Saccharomyces cerevisiae S288C: one gene and its partners. Each later gene encodes a partner of the first gene's protein in a complex. Each region holds a gene or a part of one and is shown in the gene's direction. Other genes may lie near its edges.

Region 1 (3,941 bases):
AACACCAAAATACATGGTTCTCTTCTTTTGCTACCGGTAGATCCGCCATCAAGAGCATCAACCTAAACCTTCATCTGGTAGCCCGTAGCAACCCTTTCTCTATGTGTCTAGAGTACCTGCTTGGATTTTTTTTTGCAAGTTTGAAAAGTAAGCAATTGGAAGAATTTATGGAGATCGTGATCAGGCCAAATGGTATTTTAGTTACTAGTGAATCTGCTCATCCTAACAAGAATGCGCATGAAATTTTGACCAAATTTAGATTTGTCACTTCTATTGTTAACAAAGAATTCATGAATCAAGCTAGAACTGAAAACTATTTCCTGTCTATTGCACACACTAGTGAAAACGATAAACTACCAAATAACTTCGTCTACATGTCCGATGTTAATCAATTATCAGGGTTCATGTTTCATTACTCCAAGCCCTATGAGGTTTTGTCCCAAGCTGGTAATCTTTTGAAATATATAAGTTTCACCGATTTGCCTGTCAACCCGCCACGCGATGATAAAGAATGGGAATCTTCAATTGAACCAAAGGCTATCATTCGTTGCGCTGTTCCCCAAAATGAGAATGAATTGAAGTTGTTAAACCAAATTATTTCCTTAGTCGTAGAAATCTACGATGGGTTCACTCAAGATTTAGTCCAACAGTCTCCAAACTTATTCATTACCAACGACATCTTGAAAAGAACTACCAACTTGCGTCAGCAAGAACTGAACAAGATCAAAAAGTTTATGAAAGAAACTGAATTGGAATTGGCAAAGGAGAAGAAATTAGAATTGGAAAAAGCCAAAAGACGTCAATTGAAGGCCTCTGGTCAACAAGAAAAGGTAGATCAAAAAATGAAAGAGAAAAGAGAAAGACGTCTCAAAAACAAGCAAAGAACAAGATTTCAGTAAGAACCACTTTGTTCTTCTTTCCTCCTTATAATTTTCTGAACCTCTTCAGTTTTTGTATACGAACGTTTTCCATGTATCCATACATTTAAATAGTAAGTATGTAAATTGGTATGTGGTGTTTTGAATTGCGATGTTGCCTATATACAAGATTGTACGCTATCTGAATACATACTCTTTACCAATCAAATGTCAAGACCGGGGATCTTAACCTCTTCGATAGTAATCCCAGAATCCAATAATCCCTTCTTTTCCTCTTTTGGCTTCTCTTCTTTCTTGTGGCCAAAAACAGATTCTTTACGTAACTCCATGTTCTTTTGAACTTCCGTTTCATGGCGTTTAGAGAGCTGTTGATGGTCTTCCTCTAGCTTTGCCTCAAGTGTTTGGTATTGTTTTAACAGTTCCGTATTTATGTCGTGTTCTTCGCTGAGTATGTATTTTGCACCATTGAAGTTATGTAAATAGTTTCTCATTAAAGATGGTTTGACATTTGCAACTTGTCCTTTATATAATTGAAATCGCGGGAAATCCTTCAGGACTTGAACCTTGACCCTGTGGGTTCTCTTTGTCAGAGCGCTCAGACACACCTGGGTGCAATGTAGCATCTTTGGTCGACCTGTTTCGTTCGTTATTTAGTTAGCCTTTTATATTCCTTACGGTATAACGTAACTTAACTGCCCTTTGAGTTTGCTTTTTCATCGGAAAGAACAAATGAACTAAAAACTTGCAATAATAAACAAAAAAAATACAAAATAACGTGGATGTATTAAACCAAAAACAAAATAAGACAACTCTAAAGCTGTCAAACAGAGATCTAACGGATTGAACCATGTCCAAAGTAATGAAACCCAGCAACGGAAAAGGTTCTAGAAAGAGTTCAAAAGCAGCCACACCTGATACTAAAAATTTCTTTCATGCAAAGAAAAAGGATCCGGTGAACCAAGATAAAGCAAATAATGCTTCTCAAATTACGCCAACAGTGCCACATTCTCATCCATCAGATATGGTTATCCCTGACCATTTAGCCGAATTGATTCCTGAGCTGTATTCTTTCCAACAACTGGTGGATTCCGAGAAAAGATTAGATCATTTTATTCATCTGCGAAACTTACATATGAAGCGAATGGTTGCGCAGTGGGAGAGGTCAAAGCTATCCCAAGAGTTTCTTTATCCTCATTTAAATTTTCCAAATGTAAAATTTCTCCGAATCTTCATTTCAAATGTTAGTGAAAACCAACCCTGGCAAATGGACACAAACAATGAGGCTGACCTTATGGCACTGGAGAATGCCACTTGGACGATGAGAATCGAAGGTCGATTATTGGACAATGTGCAAGCTAATGATCCAGCAAGAGAAAAATTTAGCTCATTCATAGAATCGATAGTGGTAGACTTCAAAAATAAGGAAAACGATAATGTGCCATCGACTAAATTTAATGCGGCCCCTGAAGAAAATGCCACCGAAGGACCCAGTGATAAGAAATTGAACTTAAACTTACCGTTACAATTTTCACTGCCGAATGGTGACAACTCTACTACGACTAATACCGACCAAAATAATGCCACGATGGGGGAGGAGACTGCCAAAAAGGATATGAGTTCTACAACTCCAAAACTAGAATCAGTGAAATGGCAGTATGACCCGAATAATCCTGTAGACTTCGATGGTCTCGATATTAAGAGGGTAGGGTCTGAAAATGTAGAATGCACTATAAGCATCCTGCGAAAATCATCCCCAGAAGAGCCATTTATGAGCTACTCTCCACAACTAACCGCAATAATAGGATTGAAGAGCGGTACATCACATGATGCAATATTTTCCATATATAAATACATCCATTTAAATGAATTGCTTACCAATGATGAGTCTGCATTCGAAAATTTGATGGGCAACAGGAACAATCACAATAGCAACACCAGTACTAGTAAGATGCTTGATGCAGCCTCCAGTCAAGTTTCTATTGTAAAATTAGACACTCAGCTTATTACCTTATTACCCAGCAGTCTTAAAGAATCTTCTCCAGATACAATGAAATTAACGGATTTACTGTCCCTTATTAATAGTACTCACCTGCTCCCATTACAGCCAATTGAAATTGATTACACAGTACGCGTTGATAAAGCTTCCACTTATGGTGAGTTGGTTCTTGATATTGAAGTACCTGATGTCAACGCTCTAAAATTCAATAATACACAAAGAGAAAGTCAAATTGGGGCTGCTGAATTGAATGAAAATGCCAGGGAATTGGAACAAATCAAACCCAAGATAGCTTTACAGGACAAAGAAATAACGTCCGTTCTCTCGAATCTACACGAGAGCAACAAACGATACCGTTTCTTCAAGAAAATTAGTGAGGACCCAGTTAAAGCATTAAATGAATGCATTGCTTCTACCTCGAATGCTTTGAAAGTTTTATCGGGAGATGAGGGCTATAATGAAGATATGGTAAGGCGGGCTAACTTTTACAAGGAAAATGAAGCTATGTTGCGCGAGAATATAGAAGTCATATTATCAAATGGACGAATGTAGGCTTCTTTACATTGATACACAATAGACTGAAGATTTATGTAGTTTTCTTTGTATATAAACTCTAGATAGGAAAAGAAAGGTCACCATTCATTTATAATAATTAAAGACGAACAGACAATGCTGATTTGTTTATAGCGCCTACAAGTAATGGCGGCTGTCTGATTCCATTGTCTCTTTCTAAGAAAAGCGCTGAAAATTTTCTACTGGAAATTTCAGAATATGAAAAAGTAGTAGAGATGAGGGCCACTTAAACACAATAAGCATATAAGGAACCAAGGGAAAAGCAACAAATGAGTGCTAACAATGGTGTCACTGGCAAACTCTCTAGTAGAGTCATGAATATGAAGTTTATGAAATTTGGTAAGACGGATGACGAAGAGAGTTCCAACTCCAATACGCCGTCTAATATCAACTCAGATGTGGAACCTATAGAGCAGAAAGGTAAACTCTTTGGTCTGGATGACTCAGCGTGGGACCTCAATAGCTACAAAGATGATTTAAAAAAAATTTCAGGT
Region 2 (4,997 bases), on another chromosome or scaffold:
TACCAGTAACACAAGTAAAAATGGCCAGCGAAACACCAAGAGTTGACCCCACAGAAATCTCCAACGTCAATGCTCCTGTGTTTAGGATAATAGCGCAAATCAAATCACAACCCACTGAATCTCAGTTGATTTTACAATCGCCAACCATATCATCGAAAAACGGCAGCGAGGTTGAAATGATTACGTTGAACAATATTCGTGTATCTATGAATAAAACATTTGAGATCGACTCGTGGTATGAGTTTGTTTGCAGGAACAATGATGACGGCGAGCTAGGATTTTTGATTCTAGACGCTGTACTATGCAAATTCAAGGAGAACGAAGATTTAAGCTTAAACGGTGTGGTTGCTTTACAGAGACTATGTAAGAAATACCCAGAAATATACTAGCTAAAATCGCTTTTATTCTTACCTTTATGTACTGTTGCCTCTATATGTCTTCCCTTCATATAATAAATTCCATTTCTAAAAAAATTGTAGTTGTGTTTATAGATGTATAGATAGATAAATGAATGTGTACTTGCTGCCTTAACGCCTTCCGCTAAAAACTTTTTGATATTTATTTTATTTTTAACCTTTCCTGACTTCAACCCTTACTGTAATGATGATAGTAGAAGCCGTCTATTTTTCATACTTTTCTCATGTTGATTTTCCTTGCAGACAAAGACAATCTCTTGGATGGTTTGTACCAACCACCATTATCTGAAGGCATAGATGCAGGAGTAGCGTAGTTTACTCCCGATGATATCGTATAAGACCAGCCAGGAGTTATCGTAGTTGCTTGCTCTGGCAATGACCCAAAGGTAGAGTAATATGTCACAGCACTAGTGGCAAATTTCCTTGTCCATGTGGTAGCGGTCACTTTAGTATTTGGCTGCATTTGCATTGGAGCGAAACGCGACGTACCAGTCTGCTTGGTGTACGGAACAGTAAATGAACGACTGTCAATAGTAGTGGCTTGGGCGTTGTTTGTAGTGGTTGTTTGAATAGAAGTCTGGGGAGTAGGTTCAGTTGTGGCACTATATGTATAAGCCGTAACACCGCCCATGGAAGTCAACTGGAATCTTGGTGTATAATGGATAGTGTAACCTTGACCGTCCACCTGGGCAAAAACTTGAATGTAATATTGACCGTTCCCAGTTAAGGTCGAAGCAAACTCAGCTGTGTAAGAGTAAACTTTATCATCTTGTGTTAGCTCACTTGGAGTAATTTTACTGGCAAGTACGGCCACACAGTCAATGTTGTTATTAGGACCAGTACAAAGACTGAACGTGAAAGTTGAAATCTTGCTTAACGAGGGATATGCCCCATTATCCATCCATTCAACGGGAACAGAGACAGTACCACCACTTGGACTGAATGTTGCCTTGGAGCTGGGGGAAACAATATTCACATCTCCCAGCACAAATGAGACTAAAAACACCAAAGCACATATGATGGAATTTCTTTGTAAACGCATTATCTATAATATGTCACAGTTGCTGATTCTCTGAGAAGGAAGTAAAAAGCGAAAGAGTAGATTCCTAGTAATCAAAACAAAGTGTGAACTGCCACTTTTAGCGCTTCTTGGAACTATCAAACTGGAGCAAATCTGGCTTCAAGAATGCTTTGAGACTCCTGTTCTATTCCTGTATTATCCTTGAAGATCTTTTTCGAGGAAAAAAAAAAAGAAATGTAAATAAAACACCTAATCGTCAAAAGTGATATTATATTGAACCGCCGTGGTTACGATGGAATAATGGTCAATACGCAGTTTAGATGGCATCCAACAATTCAGGATGGCCAATGATGTTATTTTAGTTTGAATTGATTACTTTTGAGCTAGTTTAAATTCGATTTAAGAGCCATTAAGTAGGCATCACGAATAACGAGGCCGGACGTTTGGCGTTTAGGCCATTGGCGAAAAGACGAAAACAAACTATATCAGATACGCAAGAGGAATGTGTAAAGGCCATGCAAGGCGCGATATATTGGTACATCGAGGCGCGTTCAGAGACCAATTGTGATACGGTTTGCAAGCATGGAGAATACACTGGGTGAGGGGTCCACGGTAAACGCTTCCGTGGACGTGGACCAACATGGCAATGACAACAATAGTGATAGCAACGCTAATGCAGCTGTGGCAGGGGTTGCCAATACAGATACTGCTGGTGAAGAATCGCAGCAACAAGATGAGTCTCTGAAGGATGAAGCAACTGTTCCGAACACACGCGATGCAGAAAGTGAGGCGATAACGGTAACGGCAAAGCAGCAGCCGACTATGCAAGCGAATAAGCTAGATTCCCAGGAAACACCTTCTACAGAAGAAAGCAGGGCCCAGAACGTCTTTGGCCAAGATAATGAGGATAGTGATAATCTCTTTGGCGAAACCGAGAGTTCTGTTTCGAACAATGAGGCAAACACTCCTAGTATACCTACGAACCCGGTAGACAATGAAAACAATAAGCCTGCTATTAAGGAAGACAGCACAATACAGGATTCAAATGGTGACGTTAAAAACATGGAGGACGTCAAAATACAAAAAGAGGAAGAACCAGAGAATAACACTGTTATTGAAGGTGTCAAAGAAGAAAGTCAGCCAGATGAGAACACAAAGGAAATGGATGAAGTGGAAGAAGATGATGAGGATGACGATCAACCGATGATTAGTCCTGATAATTCCATTTTTGGAGACACAAAGAGTGAGTCTAAACAACTAGGCAACACTTCGTCGGTTGCTAATACTCCATCTGAAATTCCAGATGCGCATAAAGCTGAACAGGAGGATATCATAGAAAAGACGGAAAGTGTAGATAAGAAGGTAGATAGTGGCGAAGAGAGAAACGAACAGGAACGTGAAATCATGAACGATCACTCCAAAAGTGCCAATCCAAAGAAAACCACTATCACCAGAGTAGAACCCGAAACTTTTGAGATACCGCAAGCACATGAAATTGTTATTCCAAGTTATTCTAAATGGTTCAATCTAGAAAAAATTCATTCCATTGAAGTTCAATCGTTACCTGAATTTTTCACCAATAGGATTCCATCAAAGACACCTGAAGTTTACATGAGATACAGAAACTTCATGGTAAATTCTTACAGGCTGAACCCCAACGAATATTTCAGTGTCACTACGGCGAGGAGAAACGTCTCTGGTGATGCTGCTGCATTATTCAGATTGCATAAATTCTTAACAAAATGGGGGCTAATAAACTATCAGGTTGACTCCAAACTATTACCTAAGAACATCGAACCCCCACTAACGTCTCAATATTCCACAAGGCATGATGCCCCCAGAGGACTATTCCCATTCGAAAGTTACAAACCATCTGTACAACTGCCGGATATGGCAAAGCTTAAAAAAATGATGAACACTAGTGATTCGGAGAGTACTTTATATAAATATTTGAAAGAAAGCAAAAGAAAATATGATGAAATAACTCACCCCCCCAGTACCACTGATGATGAAAATGGTGACAAAAATGATAATGGTGGTAAAATGAACAATGAAGTAAGTACGTCAACAAGCATGACTGGTGATGCCAATCTATTGGAAGAAGGCGAAACTTCACGTCCTCTGAAAAAAGTCAAAATTCTAGAACAAATTGATGAAAATTGGTCAAAAGAAGATTTGCAAAAGCTATTAAAGGGAATACAAGAATTCGGCGCTGACTGGTACAAAGTGGCCAAAAACGTTGGCAATAAGTCGCCTGAACAGTGTATCTTACGTTTCCTTCAATTGCCCATTGAAGATAAATTTTTATACGGTGACGGCAATGGCAAGGGTGATAATGACAACGGGTTAGGACCTTTGAAATATGCTCCTCACTTGCCATTTTCGAAGAGCGAAAACCCCGTTTTATCAACAATAGCATTCTTGGTGGGTTTGGTCAATCCGAAGACTGTACAGTCGATGACCCAGAGAGCCATTCAGTCCGCAGAATCAATAAAATCACAAAAAGAGGAAATCTCTGACCAAAAGCCAATTGAACATATTAAAGAAGGTTCAGAAATTGCCATATCATCATTGGGTTATAGGAGTCATATTTTCGCTACCAACGAGGAAAGGCAAATGAATTTTTTGACTAACGAGCTAATAAGACTTCAAATGGAAAAATTGGACGCTAAATTAAATCATTTAAAGAAACTAGAAAAATTTATGGAGCTAGAAAGGAAAACCCTAGAAAGACAACAGGAAAACTTACTAATTCAGAGATTGAACTTCAACCAAAACTCCAGCAAGATTGTAAACGTTTTAAGCAAATGCTTGAATTTAATATCCGACAGCAATATCAATAATAGTTCAGTGGCGGAGAAGGAGGAAATCAGGTCGCAGATAGACCATTTCAAAAGTATGCTATCGAAACCTGAAACTTTAAGTATTGGAAAGAATCCATTTAACAAACCTAATATTGAAACAGGTGAAAACCATAATGGCCAAAGTATATCTAACGAGAATGATGTCAAACCCATTTCTATTGAAGCACCTCAATTTTACAGGTATTGGTCGGCATAACAATGACACATGGAGATCATTTTTGTTTTTGTTGTAATTATTCTTCATTAGTAACACTTTCTATTTTGTTTCGCTCTATATTTTTGCTTATTTTCTTTCTTCTAGGTTCATTTCTTTAATGGTGCGTCACTTGACTTGGCTTCTCTCTGATTTTTATCCCATTTCTCTAGATTCGACTAGACATGTTATGTACATGTAGATATATATCTATAATTGTGTTATTTTCTATTTTTTCTATTTTTTTTATTTAAAAGAGCCTTTATCAAAAGTTATTTTTCTTGTTCTGTGTTGTTCTTAGTTTGATTTTGATTCTGTGTATTGGCCTAAACAAATTAGTATATAGTAGTATATAAATCAAATATTCACTTTAAAAGATTTTAAAATTAAAAAAGCATTTAAGCAGAGATACGTTTTTGGGCAGCAATTCTACCTCTTTGTCTAGAAGTCAATCTGACAACCTTCTTTTCAGCAGCCTTGGCGACAGCTTCTTCCTTTTCGGT
Region 3 (6,322 bases), on another chromosome or scaffold:
CCACAATTCGAGGTTCCGTCGGAGCCTGTACAGCCTATTGATTGAATGGCCCTTATAGCTTGTTCTTCCGCTTTCAGCGCCAGCATGGGGCCCAATGTAACGTCTCCTATGGGTTTAATATGAGGGTACTTTAGCAGACTTTGGGTTTGTACGTCAACATTTTCTACAAAATCCCGTTCGTCTAGACCAATGCTGGAAATATCTAAACCTTTTAGCAGGGGACGTCTACCAATAGAAACCATCAAGACGTCGCAATGATGTACATATGTTTTCTTTGACACCTTGTTAAGCAAGGTGATGTTCAGCTGACCGGCAGCATCGGCTTCCGCGAGCTGCACTCTAGTGTCTAAAAGAAAAGCTATACCCTGACACTGCAAGAGGGTCTTCGTGGCAGAAGCCAACTCATTGTCCATATTTTGACAGATCTCGCTTTGAGATTCAACGATAGTAACCCGAGAGCCCAAATTATTGAATATGCATGCGATTTCTAGTCCAATTGTACCTCCTCCCATGATAGTAAAACGTGAAGGTATATAATCCAGTGACAATGCCTTATCAGATGAAATTATCTTGTCATTATCTATTGCAACACCAGGACACTGAATAACCGCAGATCCGGTCGCCACAACAATATATTTCGCCTCTACGATGAACGGTTTCATGCCGCGCTGCGCAATCTCAACGTGGTGAGGATCTTTGAAAGCAGCCGTGCCTTTATACACAGTAACATTATTTTTAGATAGCTCACGTTTATACACATTGCCCAACTCTTCTATATTATGTTTGAGTGCACTCTGGGCCGCCTGCATATCGAATTTTGCAGGAAACAGCCGCGTGCCACGTTGCTCGATAAGTTCTTGCTGTTGTAGCAGCCGATAAAGATAAGACTCATATAACAAGGTCTTGGACGGGACTGCCCCGTCTACAAGGTAGGCGCCCCCCAGCGAGGCACGCTGGTCAACACATGCTGTGAGCAGGCCTGCTTGCGAAGCCTGCATCGCTGCAGTAAAGCCACCAGGCCCGCAACCAATTACCAGGACATCGTAAACTGCCGCAAAATCCTCCATCGTGCTTAATATTTCGTCTTCACCTCCCATTACCAAAAATGCTCACCGTTAATTATATCATACTTCTCTTCTCCTCTCGTAAAATCGTGCGCATGTTAAATAGCCGCCGAAACAGCAGATGCATGCCTGCAGGTCTGGGTGTACCCCCTGCCTGAGTGTTCCACCCAGGCCTCGCCGGAGGAAAATGCCACCGCACTCAAGTTCGCACAGAAACTACCGCATAAATTTATTCTAACCCGGAACTGACGTTTATCGTGATATGAACTTTGGGTATCTCCGATTACGAAACGACGCCACCCCTCCTTCCCCAAAGCACCGAGAAAAGATTTTTTTTAAAACTGAACGCTGATTGACTTTACGTATTATTACCACTATGCATTATTGTTGTTTCTGTTGTGGTTGTTGCCAGTTGTAATCATATTCACATTGCGTTTTAGTCATAACCACCTTCCGGTATTCATCATTCGTATTGAATAACAATATTTATACCGCAAAACACTATACGGCAAGGCAACTGATTACACTTTGTTTACCTTATTTTTTTATTATTTATTTTTCTAGAAAGTATTGTTGTGTGGCTCTATCCTTATTACACCATCTCTGCTTTGGCATTTCGCGTTGTTTCCTCTCACGGATTGCAGATTATTGTTCACCAGGTAATAATCACTGACTGGCGGCTATTTTCCTATTACACTCATTATTCTTAAAATTTTCTTTTTCTATCTCTATTTTCTTTCTTTTCGTGTCTTATAATAATAATAATAATAATAATAATAAAAATAGTAATAATAAAAATAGTAATAAATAAAGATGGATTTCTTTAATTTGAATAATAATAATAATAATAATAATACTACTACTACTACTACTACTACCAATAACAATAATACTAATAATAATAATACTAATAATAATAATAATCCTGCTAATAATACCAATAACAACAATAGCACAGGCCATAGTAGTAATACTAATAACAATACTAATAACAACAATACGAATACCGGAGCCAGTGGTGTAGACGATTTTCAGAATTTTTTCGACCCAAAACCTTTTGACCAGAATTTGGATTCCAACAATAACAACAGTAATAGTAATAACAATGATAACAATAACAGTAACACGGTAGCCTCCAGCACGAACTTTACTTCTCCAACAGCAGTCGTTAATAATGCCGCTCCTGCTAATGTTACCGGTGGAAAAGCTGCTAATTTCATTCAGAACCAGTCTCCCCAATTCAATTCTCCATATGACTCAAACAATTCCAACACAAATTTAAACAGCCTGTCTCCTCAGGCTATTTTAGCCAAGAATTCAATCATTGATTCTTCCAATTTACCTCTTCAAGCTCAACAACAGCTATATGGCGGTAACAATAATAATAATAGCACCGGAATTGCGAACGATAATGTAATAACACCCCATTTTATCACCAATGTTCAATCCATCAGTCAAAATTCCTCATCTTCTACTCCGAACACAAACTCTAACTCTACTCCGAATGCAAATCAACAATTTTTGCCATTCAATAACAGTGCTTCCAATAATGGTAATTTGACGTCTAACCAGCTTATTTCTAATTACGCTGCTTCAAATTCAATGGACAGATCATCCTCTGCAAGCAATGAATTTGTTCCGAACACAAGTGACAACAACAACAACAGTAATAACCATAATATGCGTAATAACAGCAATAATAAAACGAGCAATAACAATAATGTCACTGCCGTGCCTGCTGCAACTCCCGCTAATACCAATAATTCAACTTCAAACGCAAATACAGTGTTCTCTGAAAGAGCTGCAATGTTTGCCGCTTTGCAGCAAAAGCAGCAGCAACGTTTTCAGGCTCTACAGCAGCAGCAGCAGCAGCAACAAAATCAACAACAGCAAAATCAACAACCACAACAGCAACAACAGCAACAACAGAATCCCAAATTTTTGCAGAGTCAACGGCAGCAACAACAAAGATCTATTTTACAAAGTCTGAACCCGGCATTACAAGAGAAAATATCTACTGAATTGAATAACAAACAATATGAACTTTTTATGAAATCTTTGATTGAAAACTGTAAAAAAAGAAATATGCCGTTACAATCAATACCAGAAATCGGCAACAGAAAAATAAATCTTTTTTATCTTTATATGTTGGTTCAAAAATTCGGTGGTGCAGATCAAGTAACAAGGACCCAACAGTGGTCTATGGTGGCCCAAAGGCTGCAAATTTCCGATTACCAACAATTAGAATCAATCTATTTTAGAATTTTATTACCTTACGAAAGACACATGATTTCCCAAGAAGGTATAAAGGAAACTCAAGCGAAAAGAATATTCTTGCAACAGTTCTTACAAGAACTATTGAAGAAAGTTCAACAACAGCAGCAGGCCGCTGCATTGGCCAATGCCAACAATAACATTAATAGTGCATCGTCAGCACCAACCCCCGCGGCTCCTGGCGCGTCCGTTCCTGCTACAGCAGCACCAGGAACAGAAGCAGGGATCGTTCCGGTTTCAGCAAACACTCCAAAAAGCTTGAATAGCAATATTAATATCAACGTAAATAATAACAATATTGGCCAACAGCAAGTTAAGAAGCCAAGAAAGCAAAGAGTGAAAAAAAAGACCAAAAAGGAATTGGAACTAGAACGTAAAGAAAGGGAGGATTTTCAGAAACGACAACAAAAACTTTTAGAGGATCAACAAAGGCAACAGAAATTGCTATTAGAGACAAAATTACGTCAACAATATGAAATCGAACTAAAAAAATTGCCTAAAGTCTACAAGAGATCAATTGTTAGGAACTACAAACCCCTAATCAACCGCCTCAAGCATTACAATGGTTACGATATCAATTACATCTCTAAAATAGGAGAGAAAATAGATTCCAACAAGCCAATTTTTCTCTTCGCGCCAGAGTTAGGTGCAATTAATTTACATGCTTTATCAATGTCCCTCCAATCGAAGAATCTTGGAGAAATAAACACCGCCTTGAACACCTTGTTGGTCACAAGCGCTGACTCGAACTTAAAAATATCTCTGGTCAAATACCCTGAATTATTAGACTCCTTGGCAATACTCGGCATGAATTTACTGTCAAATTTGTCACAAAATGTTGTTCCATACCATCGAAACACTTCTGACTATTATTATGAGGATGCTGGATCAAATCAATACTATGTTACCCAACACGATAAAATGGTTGATAAAATTTTTGAAAAGGTAAACAACAACGCTACACTTACACCGAATGATTCTAACGATGAAAAAGTCACTATCCTGGTAGATTCTTTAACAGGTAATCAATTGCCCACCCCTACTCCTACTGAAATGGAGCCTGATCTCGACACTGAATGTTTTATAAGTATGCAGTCGACATCTCCCGCAGTTAAACAGTGGGACTTATTGCCTGAACCAATAAGATTCCTCCCTAACCAATTTCCTTTGAAAATTCACAGAACTCCTTATTTGACTTCTTTGAAAAAAATCAAGGATGAAATTGATGATCCATTTACAAAAATAAATACCAGAGGGGCAGAGGATCCCAAAGTTCTGATTAACGATCAACTGTCTACCATCTCGATGATTTTGAGGAATATTTCATTCTCCGATAACAACTCCAGAATCATGTCGAGAAATTTTTACCTAAAGAGATTTATATCTGATCTACTTTGGTTAGTCTTAATCCATCCAGAAAACTTTACATGCAATAGGAAAATACTAAATTTCAAGAAGGATTTGGTTATTGTTTTATCAAATATTTCTCATTTATTAGAGATCGCTTCGTCCATTGATTGCTTGTTAATTCTTATTCTAGTCATAAGTTTTGGTCAACCAAAACTCAATCCAATGGCGTCTTCGTCATCATTTGGCTCTGAATCTTTGACCTTCAACGAATTCCAGTTGCAATGGGGAAAATATCAAACTTTCGGTGTAGATATTTTGGCCAAATTATTTTCATTGGAAAAACCGAACCTAAATTATTTCAAATCAATCCTTCTGAACAAAAACACAGGTAACAACCTCTATGATCGCAACAGTAACAACAACCACAAGGACAAAAAGTTGTTACGAAGACTTTTGAATTTATACAATGATAACAATAAAAATAATAACAATAGGCACAACTTGCTAAATGATGTGGTTTCGTTTTTATTTTCTGCCATACCGCTGCAGCAAGTGTTATCGCAATCAGCTGATCCAAGTTTGCTGATCGACCAATTTTCTCCGGTAATTTCTCAGAGTCTAACTAGCATCTTAGTCATTGTACAAAAAATATTGCCGTTATCCAATGAAGTATTTGAAATCAGTGAGAATAATTCAGACAGTAACAGTAACAATAACGGCAACAAAGATTCTAGCTTCAATTTCAACAAGAATTTACCATTTGTGTGGTTGAGCTCTGAAGAAAATATTGGATCTGGACTATTGAAGTTAAGTGAGATAATATTGAATATTAACAATTCCACAAGTAAGAATACTTTGTTACAGCAACAAAATTATTCAAAGGTGCTCCTACCGTCAATTAACATATCCTGTGTTCAGTTAATCAAATGTTTGGTTGAAAAAAGTATTTGTTTTGAAAACTGCCTAAACAACGACCCGGAAATATTAAAAAAAATAGCATCGATTCCAAATTTGTTCCCCACGGATTTAGAAATTTTCCAGTTATTCACTAATCCATCAGTTGATATTCAAATAATAAACCAGTATCAATTACTTTACAATTTAAAAAATGATATCCTAACCAATTTGGAATGATGCGATTTTTTTAAACAATATTCTTTTACTGCTTATTTCTTCCTTGCGCACTATTTTCTTTTTATAAACCTATATAAAATGTTGTAACTAATATAATAGACCTTATGGAAACAATACAGTCGGAAGAGCGCCTTTAGTGCCAAAAGCCCAAATGAACGTATAGCTGCCATGAAGTCACATCTTGGGCGGCTCAACTAAACAATGGTTTTAGTAACTTCCCACTGGTCCCGTCGCGGCTACAAAAATTCCTTGAAATTGTATAAAGGAGTTTATGACTCCATTTCAGGCAGTAAATACAATTCATACACACCACACATACATTCAGAGTTAACGTTCGCTATAATAAAACGGTAGAGAGTCAGATGTGGAGTCAGCGTGGGGGGTGGGGTAACACTCCACCTTTGAAAACGGTGTGACTTCGCCCTTTCGATGGGAGGAGGTAAAGCTCAAATAGGACAGAATCATCCAAGAAAATTTCAAGCTGCCCACAAAGTCAAGAT

Evidence for each region. Proteins that work in one complex are often made in the same cells at the same time.
Region 2: the proteins of SNF12 (region 1) and SWI3 are in contact, whole or in part, in a cryo-EM structure (PDB 7C4J), measured with the Saccharomyces cerevisiae proteins. Residues at the interface, in NP_014420.1 of Saccharomyces cerevisiae: Leu65 (codon at 1,918), Leu68 (codon at 1,927), Ile69 (codon at 1,930), Glu71 (codon at 1,936), Leu72 (codon at 1,939), Ser74 (codon at 1,945), Phe75 (codon at 1,948), Leu78 (codon at 1,957), Val79 (codon at 1,960), Glu82 (codon at 1,969), Leu85 (codon at 1,978), Asp86 (codon at 1,981), Phe88 (codon at 1,987), Ile89 (codon at 1,990), Arg92 (codon at 1,999), His95 (codon at 2,008), Met96 (codon at 2,011), Met99 (codon at 2,020), Trp103 (codon at 2,032), Gln110 (codon at 2,053), Glu111 (codon at 2,056), Phe112 (codon at 2,059), Tyr114 (codon at 2,065), Pro115 (codon at 2,068), His116 (codon at 2,071), Leu117 (codon at 2,074), Leu320 (codon at 2,683), Glu458 (codon at 3,097), Ile461 (codon at 3,106), Gly462 (codon at 3,109); in NP_012359.1 of Saccharomyces cerevisiae: Ser309 (codon at 2,944), Lys312 (codon at 2,953), Gly421 (codon at 3,280), Pro424 (codon at 3,289), Phe425 (codon at 3,292), Glu426 (codon at 3,295), Tyr428 (codon at 3,301), Ile661 (codon at 4,000), Leu664 (codon at 4,009), Gly665 (codon at 4,012), Ser668 (codon at 4,021), His669 (codon at 4,024), Phe671 (codon at 4,030), Ala672 (codon at 4,033), Glu675 (codon at 4,042), Glu676 (codon at 4,045), Gln678 (codon at 4,051), Met679 (codon at 4,054), Asn680 (codon at 4,057), Leu682 (codon at 4,063), Thr683 (codon at 4,066), Leu686 (codon at 4,075), Ile687 (codon at 4,078), Arg688 (codon at 4,081), Leu689 (codon at 4,084), Gln690 (codon at 4,087), Met691 (codon at 4,090), Glu692 (codon at 4,093), Lys693 (codon at 4,096), Leu694 (codon at 4,099).
Region 3: the proteins of SNF12 (region 1) and SWI1 are in contact, whole or in part, in a cryo-EM structure (PDB 7EGM), measured with the Saccharomyces cerevisiae proteins. Residues at the interface, in NP_014420.1 of Saccharomyces cerevisiae: Ser54 (codon at 1,885), Pro56 (codon at 1,891), Ser57 (codon at 1,894), Asp58 (codon at 1,897), Val60 (codon at 1,903), Pro62 (codon at 1,909), His64 (codon at 1,915), Lys83 (codon at 1,972), Arg84 (codon at 1,975), Asp86 (codon at 1,981), His87 (codon at 1,984), His90 (codon at 1,993), Leu91 (codon at 1,996), Leu94 (codon at 2,005), His95 (codon at 2,008), Arg98 (codon at 2,017), Gln102 (codon at 2,029), Arg105 (codon at 2,038), Ser106 (codon at 2,041), His326 (codon at 2,701), Ile329 (codon at 2,710), Phe330 (codon at 2,713), Tyr333 (codon at 2,722), Lys334 (codon at 2,725), His337 (codon at 2,734), Gln375 (codon at 2,848), Val376 (codon at 2,851), Leu403 (codon at 2,932), Leu407 (codon at 2,944), His495 (codon at 3,208); in NP_015309.1 of Saccharomyces cerevisiae: Tyr677 (codon at 3,906), Ile679 (codon at 3,912), Ile682 (codon at 3,921), Ser683 (codon at 3,924), Gly686 (codon at 3,933), Ile689 (codon at 3,942), Asp690 (codon at 3,945), Lys693 (codon at 3,954), Tyr770 (codon at 4,185), His771 (codon at 4,188), Arg772 (codon at 4,191), Asn773 (codon at 4,194), Leu885 (codon at 4,530), Leu888 (codon at 4,539), Lys889 (codon at 4,542), Lys892 (codon at 4,551), Asp893 (codon at 4,554), Asp896 (codon at 4,563), Pro898 (codon at 4,569), Phe899 (codon at 4,572), Thr900 (codon at 4,575), Asn903 (codon at 4,584), Arg905 (codon at 4,590), Ala907 (codon at 4,596), Glu908 (codon at 4,599), Asn1026 (codon at 4,953), Gln1031 (codon at 4,968), Trp1032 (codon at 4,971), Gln1120 (codon at 5,235), Leu1123 (codon at 5,244).

Annotation. Positions count from the first base shown.
Region 1 is NC_001146.8:668,693-672,633, forward strand, and holds SNF12 (Snf12p), read left to right. Parts: upstream 1-1,725; coding exon 1,726-3,426; downstream 3,427-3,941. Other genes in the region: YNR021W (uncharacterized protein), read left to right, coding at 1-899; mitochondrial 54S ribosomal protein bL9m MRPL50, read right to left, coding at 1,082-1,501; MPP6 (Mpp6p), read left to right, coding at 3,717-3,941.
Region 2 is NC_001142.9:91,553-96,549, reverse strand, and holds SWI3 (Swi3p), read left to right. Parts: upstream 1-2,019; coding exon 2,020-4,497; downstream 4,498-4,997. Other genes in the region: RFA3 (Rfa3p), read left to right, coding at 21-389; KRE9 (Kre9p), read right to left, coding at 628-1,458; 60S ribosomal protein uL22 RPL17B, read right to left, coding at 4,893-4,997. UniProt on the Saccharomyces cerevisiae protein: Involved in transcriptional activation. Component of the SWI/SNF complex, an ATP-dependent chromatin-remodeling complex, which is required for the positive and negative regulation of gene expression of a large number of genes.
Region 3 is NC_001148.4:519,137-525,458, forward strand, and holds SWI1 (Swi1p), read left to right. Parts: upstream 1-1,877; coding exon 1,878-5,822; downstream 5,823-6,322. Other genes in the region: IRC15 (Irc15p), read right to left, coding at 1-1,097. UniProt on the Saccharomyces cerevisiae protein: Involved in transcriptional activation. Component of the SWI/SNF complex, an ATP-dependent chromatin remodeling complex, which is required for the positive and negative regulation of gene expression of a large number of genes.